Caenorhabditis elegans: one gene and its partner. The protein of the gene in region 2 purifies or fractionates together with the protein of the main gene of each other region. This does not show direct contact. Each region holds a gene or a part of one and is shown on either strand. Other genes may lie near its edges.

Region 1 (6,903 bases), on a different chromosome or scaffold from region 2:
GTATTATTGAAAAAGCAAAAGAGGTTGCCAGGAAAACGCGATGAGCTTCTTTTGAGAAATACACAACTTCGATGTTAATTTAGAAAATGCAGGAACTTTTAATAGAAAAATAACAACTTTTAAAATGTTACAGCAGGTTTACATTTTTAATGTTCAGGGCAAATTTCAATTCTTAGAGCTGGAAAAATTATTAAAATGGTACAAAATTTTGATAAAGAAATGGTTCAGTTGTTGTGTACATTAAAAATTGTCACAATGAATCACAATGAAGCTGTGAAAATATTTATTTACTTCAAATTTTTTATAGAAATCAAATTTAAATGATATCAACATTATGAAGATTAACATAACCAGTCATTGGGAATGTTTCCATATTATTTGGATGATTTGCAAACGGAGTATCAGAAACATTTCCAAATAGGTTCTTAATTGTTTTCCAAGCTTCCGATTTGCTAACCTCTACCAATTTATTCTCAACTAAATTCTAGAATATCAACTGTCAAAATGTCATTCGAAAAATCCAAAAAGTGTCCTTTATAATGTGAGGAAAGAGACACAGATATCTGCTTCTTTTCACATTTTTCACCGCGAAAGACTTTCGAACATTCACAAATTGGTTTTGGATTTGAATAAATGCAAACTCCACCATTCTCACATGAGACTGTAAACTTGCTTTAACCAATACTTTATAAATTATTTTGGCGTCAGAAAAATTTAAAAAATTAAACAACAAAAGAATACCGCATTAAAGCGGCAATGGCTTGAAGATCATACACTTCAAAGATAGTTAAAAAGAAGGTGCAGAGAGAAAACGAAGATCGAAGAAATGGTGGTAATTAAATTATGAATTATTGAGTAATTAATCGAAAGCAGCAAGAGTGAAGGAGTCAACAAGCTCAGCTGGTTTTGTTTGCCATTTTCCGAGTCCCGCAGCCTCGAGCTGAAAATTAATATTATGAAGAAGAAGACGAAGAAAAGAAGAAAATAAAACACCAACCTTTTCATAGAACACTTTCTTCTCATACTGGTATTCAGACGCCATCTCTTTCGCCTTCGCATAATTCACAACGGCCTGGTCGACTCCGTTCAATTTACGATACGCCTCAAAGATTTCAGCTTTACAAACTCGCGATGGGGATCCCTTTGAAGTGCGTCCAGTATTGTAATCCAGAGTTTCAACAGAATCCACTCCACGGTGCCAGAGATGAGATATGCCCATATGCATTCTCATTTGCACAGGCATACTCTCCACAATGATCTCTCGTTCATTTTCGTTTGGTCCAAGGCGTCCTTGCAAAGCATAACTGAGTGATTCATCAGAGACTGGAGCTTCTGAGCCGAAGAAGATGTTATCAATGAAAATTGGATGAAGAACATTGGAGAGGAGAGCGCCTTGAATTCCCAAAGTGTTCCATTTGAATAGTTTATCCGCAGTGCAATGAACTCGAAGGGACTTCGTTTCCTTAATTTGTTCGTAGGTAAGCACATCGTCTGGTACACATGTCAGATTTGTTGGCCTGAAAATGGTGAAATAGTTTTTGCAGAAACTAAAATTCTATTAAACTCACGTTACATATGACAACTTCTTAGTTGCAGCATCATCGACTGCATGAATGCATGGTGGCGAGTAGTTGGAATAGAGAACAAGCCGGAGATTCGGCTTTAAGGCAGCTTTTCCCTCTTCCTTTTTCTCGAAAATTGAACATTCTGAATCAACGGTGCTAAGTTCATGGATAAATGCCTTCAACATTGCTCTGCGGGCAAGAATAATAGCATCCAAATGAAGTAGAGATGTTCCATTGGCTCCACTGAGAGTATCTGGTTCGACTATATATTGTATAGATGAACCCATTGCAAGAACACGCTTCTCTTCTTGAGCATTGACCAATAGGAAACTGAAAGTTGAATAAATTTCTTTTGAAAATAATGTTTGAAAACTTACGCAGCAAACAAATTGCTGGGAGGTATTTGATAGTATTCAGTCATCTGGTGGTATTCTCTCTTACAAAATTCTGCGATATGTCTGCATAATGGAGAAACCTTTGACTCGGTCATAGCACGACTTGTCAATGCAAGTGGATAGTTGCCGGCTGGATCATAGTCAATTTTGAAAAGCTTCTTCAGAGCTTGCATTGCCGCTTCACTTTTAGCCAGTTTTTTCGAACGACCAACGCCAATGTACCGATCGGTTTCATCGATTACGCATTCACAACTGAAAATTTTCAATTAAAACAGCCTCATAAAATATTTTCAAAAAAGGATTCTGAAATTGTACTTCACTTACTAGAATGTCGTTGTAGCCTGTCCAGCAACTGGAGGTACATTGTCCTTGAATTCATAGGCAATCTTGCACTTCTGTTTCGTCTGCTTGTTGAGCATCGCGTGGAGAAGAGCACACGGTCCCTGACTGCTGACAGCATCTGTTTTCACACAGGAAGATGGATCTATTGCAAAATAGTTTTTTAGTGTTTCTTGCGCGACCCAGTCTTTGGCCATTGCTTTGGAAGCGAGTGATGAGGACTTGACTTCAAATTTCAAATCATTCTCTGAAAAAATTGAAAAACTGTTCTAAATCTGAGATTCTAGTAAAAATACCATTGTGATCAATAATTGTGCATTTTGCCATGAAATATGCTCTTCCGATACCAAGTGGTCTGTCTTCTGCTGGCTCACATTCAATAGTAAGAGTGCAATTTAAAATTGAGCAAATGGTATTGAGACATTGAAGGATTGTCGTATCGTGTCCAAGACGATTACTTGCATGTCTACGGGCAACAGTGGTGATGTCGGCATGTGACACGTTGAACAAGTCACGAAGAGCTTCACGAATGACCATATCTTTCAAAACTCCACGACTTGGTCCCATCTTTGTATATTGTTTATTTTGCTCCACGAATTTCAAAGTGACATTATGCATGGTCTCATTTTTGCGCCAACCACTCTTCTTTTCATTGGCAACGTTTTCTCCATTTGTATCCACTTCTTCTTTTTTGACTTCGACTTCGGGAATCTCTGGATCTTTTGGAACCTCCGAAGCTTCGAAAACTGGTGAATACTTCTCGGCAGACTCAGCAATTATTTTTTGCATTAGATCTAGCAACGAAAGCGCAGATTCAACAGGTGTCAACTGGAGCTTGAGAATTTATAAGTACAGCTTTTGAAAATTTGAATTTTACCTTTGCTTTCTTAACAGCGGAGACCTTTTTCGGTGTCGGTTGATTTGAAATAGCATCAGCCTGAAGCAACTAATATAAAACTTATTAAAACCAATTGTAGTTCGAACGTACATTTCTCTTGTTGTTCTGCCCATTTCCAGAAGCGGCATCGATTTCCTTTTTCACTGGAGCCGCTGCTTTTGCTGCTACACCTTCTTCAAATGGTGTTACATGAACATCCGGACGAAGATCGCGAACAACAAGTTCCGAACATTTTTGTTTCGCTGCTTTCTTGTTGACTGATTCCATTTGAAAAGTGCGTCCGTTTACTTTCAATGTGCAGCAATACTTTTTCGGAACGCCCTCAACCTCAGTGTACCTGAAAAAGTTCAATAATTTGATTGCCTTTCTAATAAATTCAATAACTTACTCTTCAGAAACATCCTTGAACAGCTCATGAAGCAACATCGCTGGGCTTTTCCCAGTCGAATCAAACTTTTTGGGAGCAGCTGGACCCTTGGGCTTATTTTGCTGAAATAAAAACGTTATTGCAATATAAAATAAAAATAATTTCCCACCCTCCAATTTGGTTTGTTTTGGTTGAATGGACCGCCTTTTTGATTGTTAAAAAAACGATTTCCCTGTGGGCCACCCATTTGGTTTTGCGACATTGGTTGCACCCACTCCTGACTCAAAGCGTGCCCTCCGCCAAACGCACCGAAATTGTTGTTACGAATTGCAGATGGTTTTGGAGCACCGCCTTGTTGTCCGTATTTCTGTATCAGTTTCTCACATTAGAAATTCCAAATTGTGATAATTTTTAGAAAACGCTTCTGTTCTTTCAATTAAAAATAAACTATTAGTTTCAACTGGAGCTGTTCTTTAAATTAAAAATAAATATACCTTCTGTGGGAAGGTTTGTGCTCTCTGTTGTTGTTGCATGAATGTTGAAATTGGGTTCATGGCTGCATAAGTATTCTGAGCTTGTTGTTGAGCCTGTTGTTGCTGCTGCTGCTGTTGTTGGCTGACATATTGTGGGAACTGAAAAAAAATAATTGTATTTTCTTCCGAAATTGTTAGTTTTTATCATACCGTGTGGGTAGCCAGCGAGGCAGCGGACTCTGGTTGGCTCCATTGACTTGCCCAGTTGTAATTATTGGTCTGGAAAATTGAAAAATTAATTAAGCAAAATTTTCTAAGCTTTTGAGATAATTCAGCTTAGTGATTTTTTGTATTAGAAAGTTTTTGATATTGTTTTTTAGCTGAAGGATCTCAAACCTTAGGTTTTGCTAATTTGATACGATTTAAGATACAGAAATAAACAATTTTAAGCTAATTTTTGAAAATATCACCGAGAGGATCCAACCCTGGATGATATAAATTTTAATTTATAATAATCATCCAGAAATGCATCTATAACAAAACTTAATTATTGCAAAGTGAGAAAAAGTTCATTTGTATTAGGCAGATGAACTTATTGACACTGTAAACGTCAACAAATGTATTAATTGTCGATGCATACGACAACGCCAAACTATTTGGGGTTCTTCCAATATTTTTAATTGCTTTAAAGCTGGAGTGAATCCTACTTGAGTTTTAATTTGTATTGGATTTCACTCCAACTCTAATCGAGTACCCACAAAAGTTTAGAGTTAACGTACGGAATCGCTGGTGTGATCAGTGCCAGAGCCATAGGCCTGTCCATAACCGAAGTTGTAGTTAGGATTTTGATCCATTTCGTAGTCAAATAAATTACCTGCAGAAAAAATGATGACTAGCAATCGTATGAAGTTTTCGAGAAAAGATTCACACTATTGAAAGTCGTGACATTACCCGGCACAAAAAAACATTTCGAACCGGACAATGAAATTACACGAGAAATAAGAGGGAAGCAGTAAGATCACAGAGTATGCCGCATTGGGAATAATGACAAACTCCACGTTCTTAAGTAGACACAAAATACATTACAATATAGAGGAAATATGCCGAGAGTAGGAAATAAACATACTATTCAGTTGTTCTTTTAAGCAATAGAAGCAACTAAATAGCTAGTTGAAAGACTTCGTGTAGCATTGAGAACAAAAAACACATTCAGAAGAGAAAAGCAAATAATTTTAGGCCCTCTAATTCTAAAAATCCTAGACTAAAAAGGAATGAAAATTATAAAACGTCAAGAACAAAATGGCTTATGACTGAGATATAATGCTCCTCTCAATATGCTATAATTATTGATTAACTGAATTTCCCATAAACTGACATTGCTTTCAATGTTTTGAAACAAAAAGGGCTGTTGCATTGTGAGAATAACACTATTTTTCTATTGAAATTGACAGAAACTAAGCGAATTGTACATTTCAGTGATACATTTACAATTGCGGAACGAAATAATAAGCGAGAACGCAGCAAAAAATGAGCCGAATCGTTGAGCGCGGAACGCGTCGCATTCGAAAAGTCGATAGTTCCATGGAGCGCATTTGCTCTACTGACACGTCACGGAATCTGTGAATAAAGTTTGAAAGAAATGCGTTCAATGCCGAAAACGAAAACTTCGCTCACATTTTAAGTGAGAAAGAATAGCAGCTAAATTGTTATAAATATTCTAAAACATAGTGTTAAAGGATTTTAACTACTTTTCATAATTCTGTTTCGCCCGACTCACACAATTCAAAAATTGAAGTGGTCTCATAATACACGTTTCCCGGATTTTCATGAGTTTTTAAGATTTTATTTGCAATTTAATATTTCTAATCTGCTGTTTTTATCACAAATGCGAAAAATATAAAGTTTCTGATGCTTAAATATTGATTTCGTCAAAATATTTTTTGTAAAACCACATCAGCTGCTAAATAATAAATTCTTTTTATTTTTTTTTTAAAGTTCATATTATTTGTCCAGTTACAATTTATTAGTTGCGAAATTCATATGCAACGTGTCCTTGGACGAGTTTTCAGTCAGACATTTTCTCATGAGTCCAGTCCCGTGTTTAAGCACATGTTGCTGTTTTAGGAAAATCGTGGTAAATAATTGTGTTTCAATGCTCATTATTCGTTTGATCGTTTCTCTTTTAATTCTTTATTTATTGAAGATCAGGACTGTATTTATTCTCTTTCAAAATTGTTAATTTTCAGGAATATTCTACAATGTCGTGGTTTCGGAAATCAGCAAACGACTCACTACTGGAGACAAATCACGGTTTCGTTTTGTTTTATTGGGAACTGTGCTTTCAAACTTTTAACTAACGTTTACTAATAAGTAATATGGATGAACTTGAACTGGAATTTTCTTAAAATCAGGGTTTTATTTGAACATTTAACATTTTTAAATTCGTTAAAATTTTATTCATGACGGTTTGACATGACTTAATTTTTTTCCAGTTCTAGCCACTCCATATTATTTTAATGTTTACTTGCATGAATATTTGAGAAATACCAAAAGTTGCTCATCATTTCTTAGTTTGCTTCTTTCTCCATCATCAAAAAGTCCACCCTTTTCACTTCCTCCCCTCCCATTTTCCGGCTCTTTTTTCACGTATCTCCCCCATCCGTCTGTCCTCTTCTCCAACTCTTCGTGTCTTTTCATGCCCAAAGTCCTACATCGATTTGCGCAGGAAAAAGCCTCCGAGTGCCGAAACAACGTCTTCTTCTTCTTCGTATTTTTCTTGTTTTCAACGCACTGCTCCTCTCGTTCTGCAGTTTTTGTTAGCATCTTCCCCATCTCTTCGTATTTTTTTGCTTCTCATTTCCGTTTT
Region 2 (4,343 bases):
TTTTTGAATTCTGGGTCTGAATCGGGGTCGAAAATCGATCGTTCTGGAACCATCACACATTGCATTCCAGCATCGAGTGCCGACAAGACACCATTGTACGAATCTTCAAATACAAGAACTTTGTCCGCCGATTCTGGAACTTGTGGGAATCGTTTCATAGTCACCAAAAATGGATCTGGGTGTGGTTTTCCGTGTTTCACTTCAGGATCATCTCCCGATAAAACTTGCAACTTGATCATGTTCACCCAATCTTTGTGGTTATCCAATTTCGTTGGAAATGTGCGACTACACGATCCAGTACACAATGCAACTGGAACTCCGGTATGAAGAAGGTGACGAACCAGTTTCTCAGCTCCAGGCATCGCAGGACTCCTTTTGAACATTTCGATGAGAAGTTCATCGTATTGACGTGAATACTCTTCCGGTGTCACAAGATCGCCGATTTTCAGTTCGTTGATTAGCCATCGGATCGATTCATCATGGCGTTTTCCCATTTGCCCTGAAATTTATATTAAAATAAAAATATTTCTGATATTTCTTCTCACTTCTCTTCAAATCCATTGTGAAAACGTGTCCATATTTTCTCAAAAGCTCCATATTCGCTTCCGTGTATGCAGATTCTGTGTCGACGAGAAGACCGTCAAAATCGAAAATCACATGGGTCACTGATGCAGGCATCTGGAAATTTCTATAAAAACATATTTATTCCAGTTTTCGTTTCCTTAAATAATATTCAACTCCGAGATAAGTAACTCGAATCACTGAAAATTGTAAGTCCAAAAAATAAAAGATTAACAATTAATTAATGCAGAAATTAAGAGTTAACAGCTAAAATGGAATGAATACACGATGCTGCATGAGATTTTTAAAAGTGGAACCACATTGAACTTTTGATACAATAAAGGTAAAATTGCATTGATTAATTTATAGTAAACATTTGAAATTCTCGTGGCTTTCGTTGCCAAATTCCGAGATCCTTCTGTCGCAGCCAGGTAATGAACGACTTTTTTGCAGCAGCGTATTCTTGAGATCCAGCTTTGAGTTCTTCGTATGAGATTGGATAATCCACAGAAGTCTTTGTCAACGTGCAGATCTGAAATAGAAGGAATTGTTGAGTTTCACACTCAAAACATCAAGAAAATTATTTTTATTTTCCCCCAGCTTACAGTAATCATCAGTTCTGCCATATTTTTTTTACACAATCTGGATGGAGTCGTGATGTCAGCCCCGCTCATATCCTTATCATGAACCATTCCATCCGATGTTCGTACAACTTCTGTATTTCCATCAGCCAAGTTCCAATTCATCGAACTAATCGTGGATCGTGCTGCTGCAGAAGTTGATTGCTCAGTATCTTCCACTTGACACTCTCCGATTTCCACGTCTTGAACATGGAATGGAGCTGGAGGTTTGAAGGTGGCTGCTCTGCTGTAAACTGCTTTACGGAGACGATCTGCATTGTTCAACTCGGCAACGGCGATTGACGAGTAATAGATCTGAAAATCAAGATCTCATGTTATACTAATCAGGTTAAACTAACTGGATCGATGAAATGTGATAATATTGCTCCTTGGACACCCAGTACATTTGCTCGAAGCAATTTATCAGAGCAAGACATTGTCCTCATTCGTTCTCCCATCATGATTCCATCAAATGTTTGTGGAGCTTCAAACTCAGAAGCACCACCGAGCACTGTGCCCATACCTTTATCAATTTTGAATCGAAGACGAGAAGAATTTTGAAGGTCATCTGATGTTCCGGGTTTTAGCTTTTTCTGAAAATAATTCAAATGAAGAATTTACAAAAATTAATACTTGAAAAGTTACATCTATTCTCGCAACTCCACATGGTGCGGTGTTTATGAATAAATGGAAAGAAATTCCTGGCTTCAGCACCAATGCGTTCTTTCCTTTTGTAAAAATTGAATTGGGTGGCTCTGTAGAGAACTTTAGAACTTCGGAATACAAAAATCTCAGAAGGCCTCTTCTTGCGAGAATTTCAGCATGACAATCTATGAGAGCTGTTCCATCGTTTACAATTTTGTCTCCGCGTAATCCCTTGTTTCCAGTGGAGAGAGCAATGATTTGGAGGTTTCCATTGATTTTCAGGAAAACAGAAGCGATCACTTTTTCGAATCCATAGATTAAGGCGTTGTTCTTACAAAGTCTAAAATGATAATAAAAGGGATACATTCACTATGAATTATTTTTTCCACTGACTCATAAAATTTCGCGTATGTATGTTCTCTGAGCATCTCGAAAAATGTGGTTTTCTCCTCAAATTTGACAGCAGGCACAACGTATTCGCTAACATGCTTGAGCACGACTTCCAGTCCTTTCAATGAGCACGACACCTTTGCCTCTTTCTTTTTGGATTTTACATTTCCCTCGATTCGTTCTCCATTTAAAATTACAACACATATAAATTTCATGGATCCGTTCGGTTGGTTTCTGTTATAGAAATCAAAAACTGGAGTGTTGCCTGTCATATGAACATAAAGCTCTGAGAATAATGACATTGGATTCTTTCCGCTTCTTTCCACAGTTTCCTTCACAAAGTCGGGAATATTGTCATCCAAATCCATTTTCTCTGACTTTAACTCAACTTCCATACCTTCTTCGACGGACATCTGAATTACGAATAATTTTTGGAACAAAAAGTCCACATGAGGAAATGTGTAACAGTTTTACCTTGAGATATCGAAAAAACAATAGAGCAACATCGACTAGTGAACGATATTTAAGAAAAACATAGAGAAAACATAAAAGTATATAACATATTTTGTTTTTCATCTACAATTCGGAAGTTATCAGAAAAGGGGAACAAATACTAAAACCTCAAAATTAAAAATAAATCATCTGACAACAGAAAACGGAAAAGCGAAAAAGCTACGAAAAAATCAGGTATTTTAAAATGTTCTCTTCTCATTTCCCACAATTCGTATTATCTTAACGATAAAGATATTCGGCTTGAAGATTGGAAGCGAGCTCAGGCTCCCAGCGATCACCATTCAACAAGAGCTTCTCCTTATTATAGAGGAGTTCTTCGTGAGTTTCAGTCGAATATTCGAAGTTCGGGCCCTCGACAATTGCATCGACTGGGCAAGCTTCCTGGCATAATCCACAATAGATGCACTTGGTCATATCGATATCGTATCTAGTGGTACGGCGACTTCCGTCAGGTCTTGTTTCGGCCTCGATCGTGATAGCTTGAGCTGGGCAAATGGCTTCGCAAAGCTTGCAAGCAATGCATCTTTCTTCACCAGACGGGTATCGACGAAGAGCGTGTTCTCCTCTAAAATACTGATTTTTTTGTTAATAATTTTTGTTTTTTTTTAAATTAACTAAATAATTAATATTTTTAATTAAAGAATTTTCGAATATGTGTCGTGTGAAGGTGCAAGTTTGTTCAGTTTTTTGAAAACTATTAAAATACAACCAAAATATGCTTATTTTCTTCCAAGCTGATTATAACAAATGCTTTATGATTTAATTTCAATTTTTAATTTCTGTACCTGAATCTTGAACTGAGTGGTCCCTTTTCGAAGGGATAGTTGATAGTAGCTGGCTCCATGAATACGTGACCAAGCATCACTCCGAAACCTGAAAAATTGACATTTTTCCTTCACACAGTATACTTCAAAATAATTTTGATTCAAATTTAGTTTAAAATTACCTCTGAAAAGTTCGGTGAAGAAAACATTGTGAAGCCCGTAATTCAAATCTCCAGCCAGTGTTCCATCGGTTTCATTGGGCATACCAACGAATTTGTAGTTGGATCTCTTTTGAATTGTGTTGGAAGGAACACTGCTGACGGCAAGCTAAATAATTGATTATTTGAAACGTATATTTGAATGAGAAAATCTCACTTGAGCCGGAATTCTTCCAAACATGCCTTTTGTGAGCACTGCCACACTTTTCATCGCCATTTTGACAGCGTGGTTAAGTTACTGAAAAACGTATTATTGATAGACTACATTTAATTTAATTGGAATGAAGTGTTTATAATAGAAAAACATTGATAAATATAAAATTGAACACGAAAAAATATTAAAAAAGCGAGAAAGACGCAAACATGTCCTGCAGGTGCACGAGAAACGCGCCAACGATGAACCAAGGGCGCAACTTCTGCGTTCCAACAAAGTTTAATTCCCAAATATCTATTTAAATACTTTTAGCCTTTCAATTTATATATTTTATATTGTTATTATGTTTAAATATTTGTCAAATAACATAATTTTATCGTTTAGTGTTTCTAAGCACGCTTATTGTCACAATAATTTTACTTTAATGCTTTGTTTCTTGAGAAATTAGGAAAACTGTTCTCAAGTTTGCTTCCGAATA

Evidence for each region.
Region 1: the proteins of adr-2 (region 2) and adr-1 purify together in Caenorhabditis elegans (affinity purification with western blotting; 2 studies listed by BioGRID). This does not show direct contact.

The regions. Positions count from the first base shown.
Region 1 is NC_003279.8:7,771,426-7,778,328, reverse strand, and holds adr-1 (A-to-I RNA editing regulator adr-1), read right to left. Parts: upstream 4,912-6,903; 5' UTR 4,892-4,911; coding exon 4,817-4,891; intron 4,317-4,816; coding exon 4,248-4,316; intron 4,197-4,247; coding exon 4,059-4,196; coding exon of another isoform or gene 4,038-4,058; intron 3,932-4,037; coding exon 3,734-3,931; intron 3,687-3,733; coding exon 3,586-3,686; intron 3,535-3,585; coding exon 3,288-3,534; intron 3,246-3,287; coding exon 3,177-3,245; intron 3,134-3,176; coding exon 2,596-3,133; intron 2,547-2,595; coding exon 2,285-2,546; intron 2,213-2,284; coding exon 1,943-2,212; intron 1,896-1,942; coding exon 1,569-1,895; intron 1,518-1,568; coding exon 998-1,517; coding exon of another isoform or gene 941-997; coding exon 860-940; 3' UTR 674-859; downstream 1-673. Other genes in the region: nsf-1 (Vesicle-fusing ATPase), read left to right, coding at 6,121-6,171, 6,284-6,347.
Region 2 is NC_003281.10:7,230,254-7,234,596, forward strand, and holds adr-2 (Double-stranded RNA-specific adenosine deaminase adr-2), read right to left. Parts: upstream 2,630-4,343; coding exon 2,220-2,629; intron 2,167-2,219; coding exon 1,827-2,166; intron 1,775-1,826; coding exon 1,541-1,774; intron 1,497-1,540; coding exon 1,167-1,496; intron 1,094-1,166; coding exon 920-1,093; 3' UTR 786-919; downstream 1-785. Other genes in the region: R151.10 (uncharacterized protein), read right to left, coding at 1-499, 546-678; ndus-8 (putative NADH dehydrogenase [ubiquinone] iron-sulfur protein 8, mitochondrial), read right to left, coding at 2,949-3,294, 3,515-3,602, 3,676-3,820, 3,869-3,928. UniProt on the Caenorhabditis elegans protein: Catalyzes the hydrolytic deamination of adenosine to inosine in double-stranded RNA (dsRNA) referred to as A-to-I RNA editing. Acts primarily on non-coding regions of protein-coding genes including introns and untranslated regions (UTR).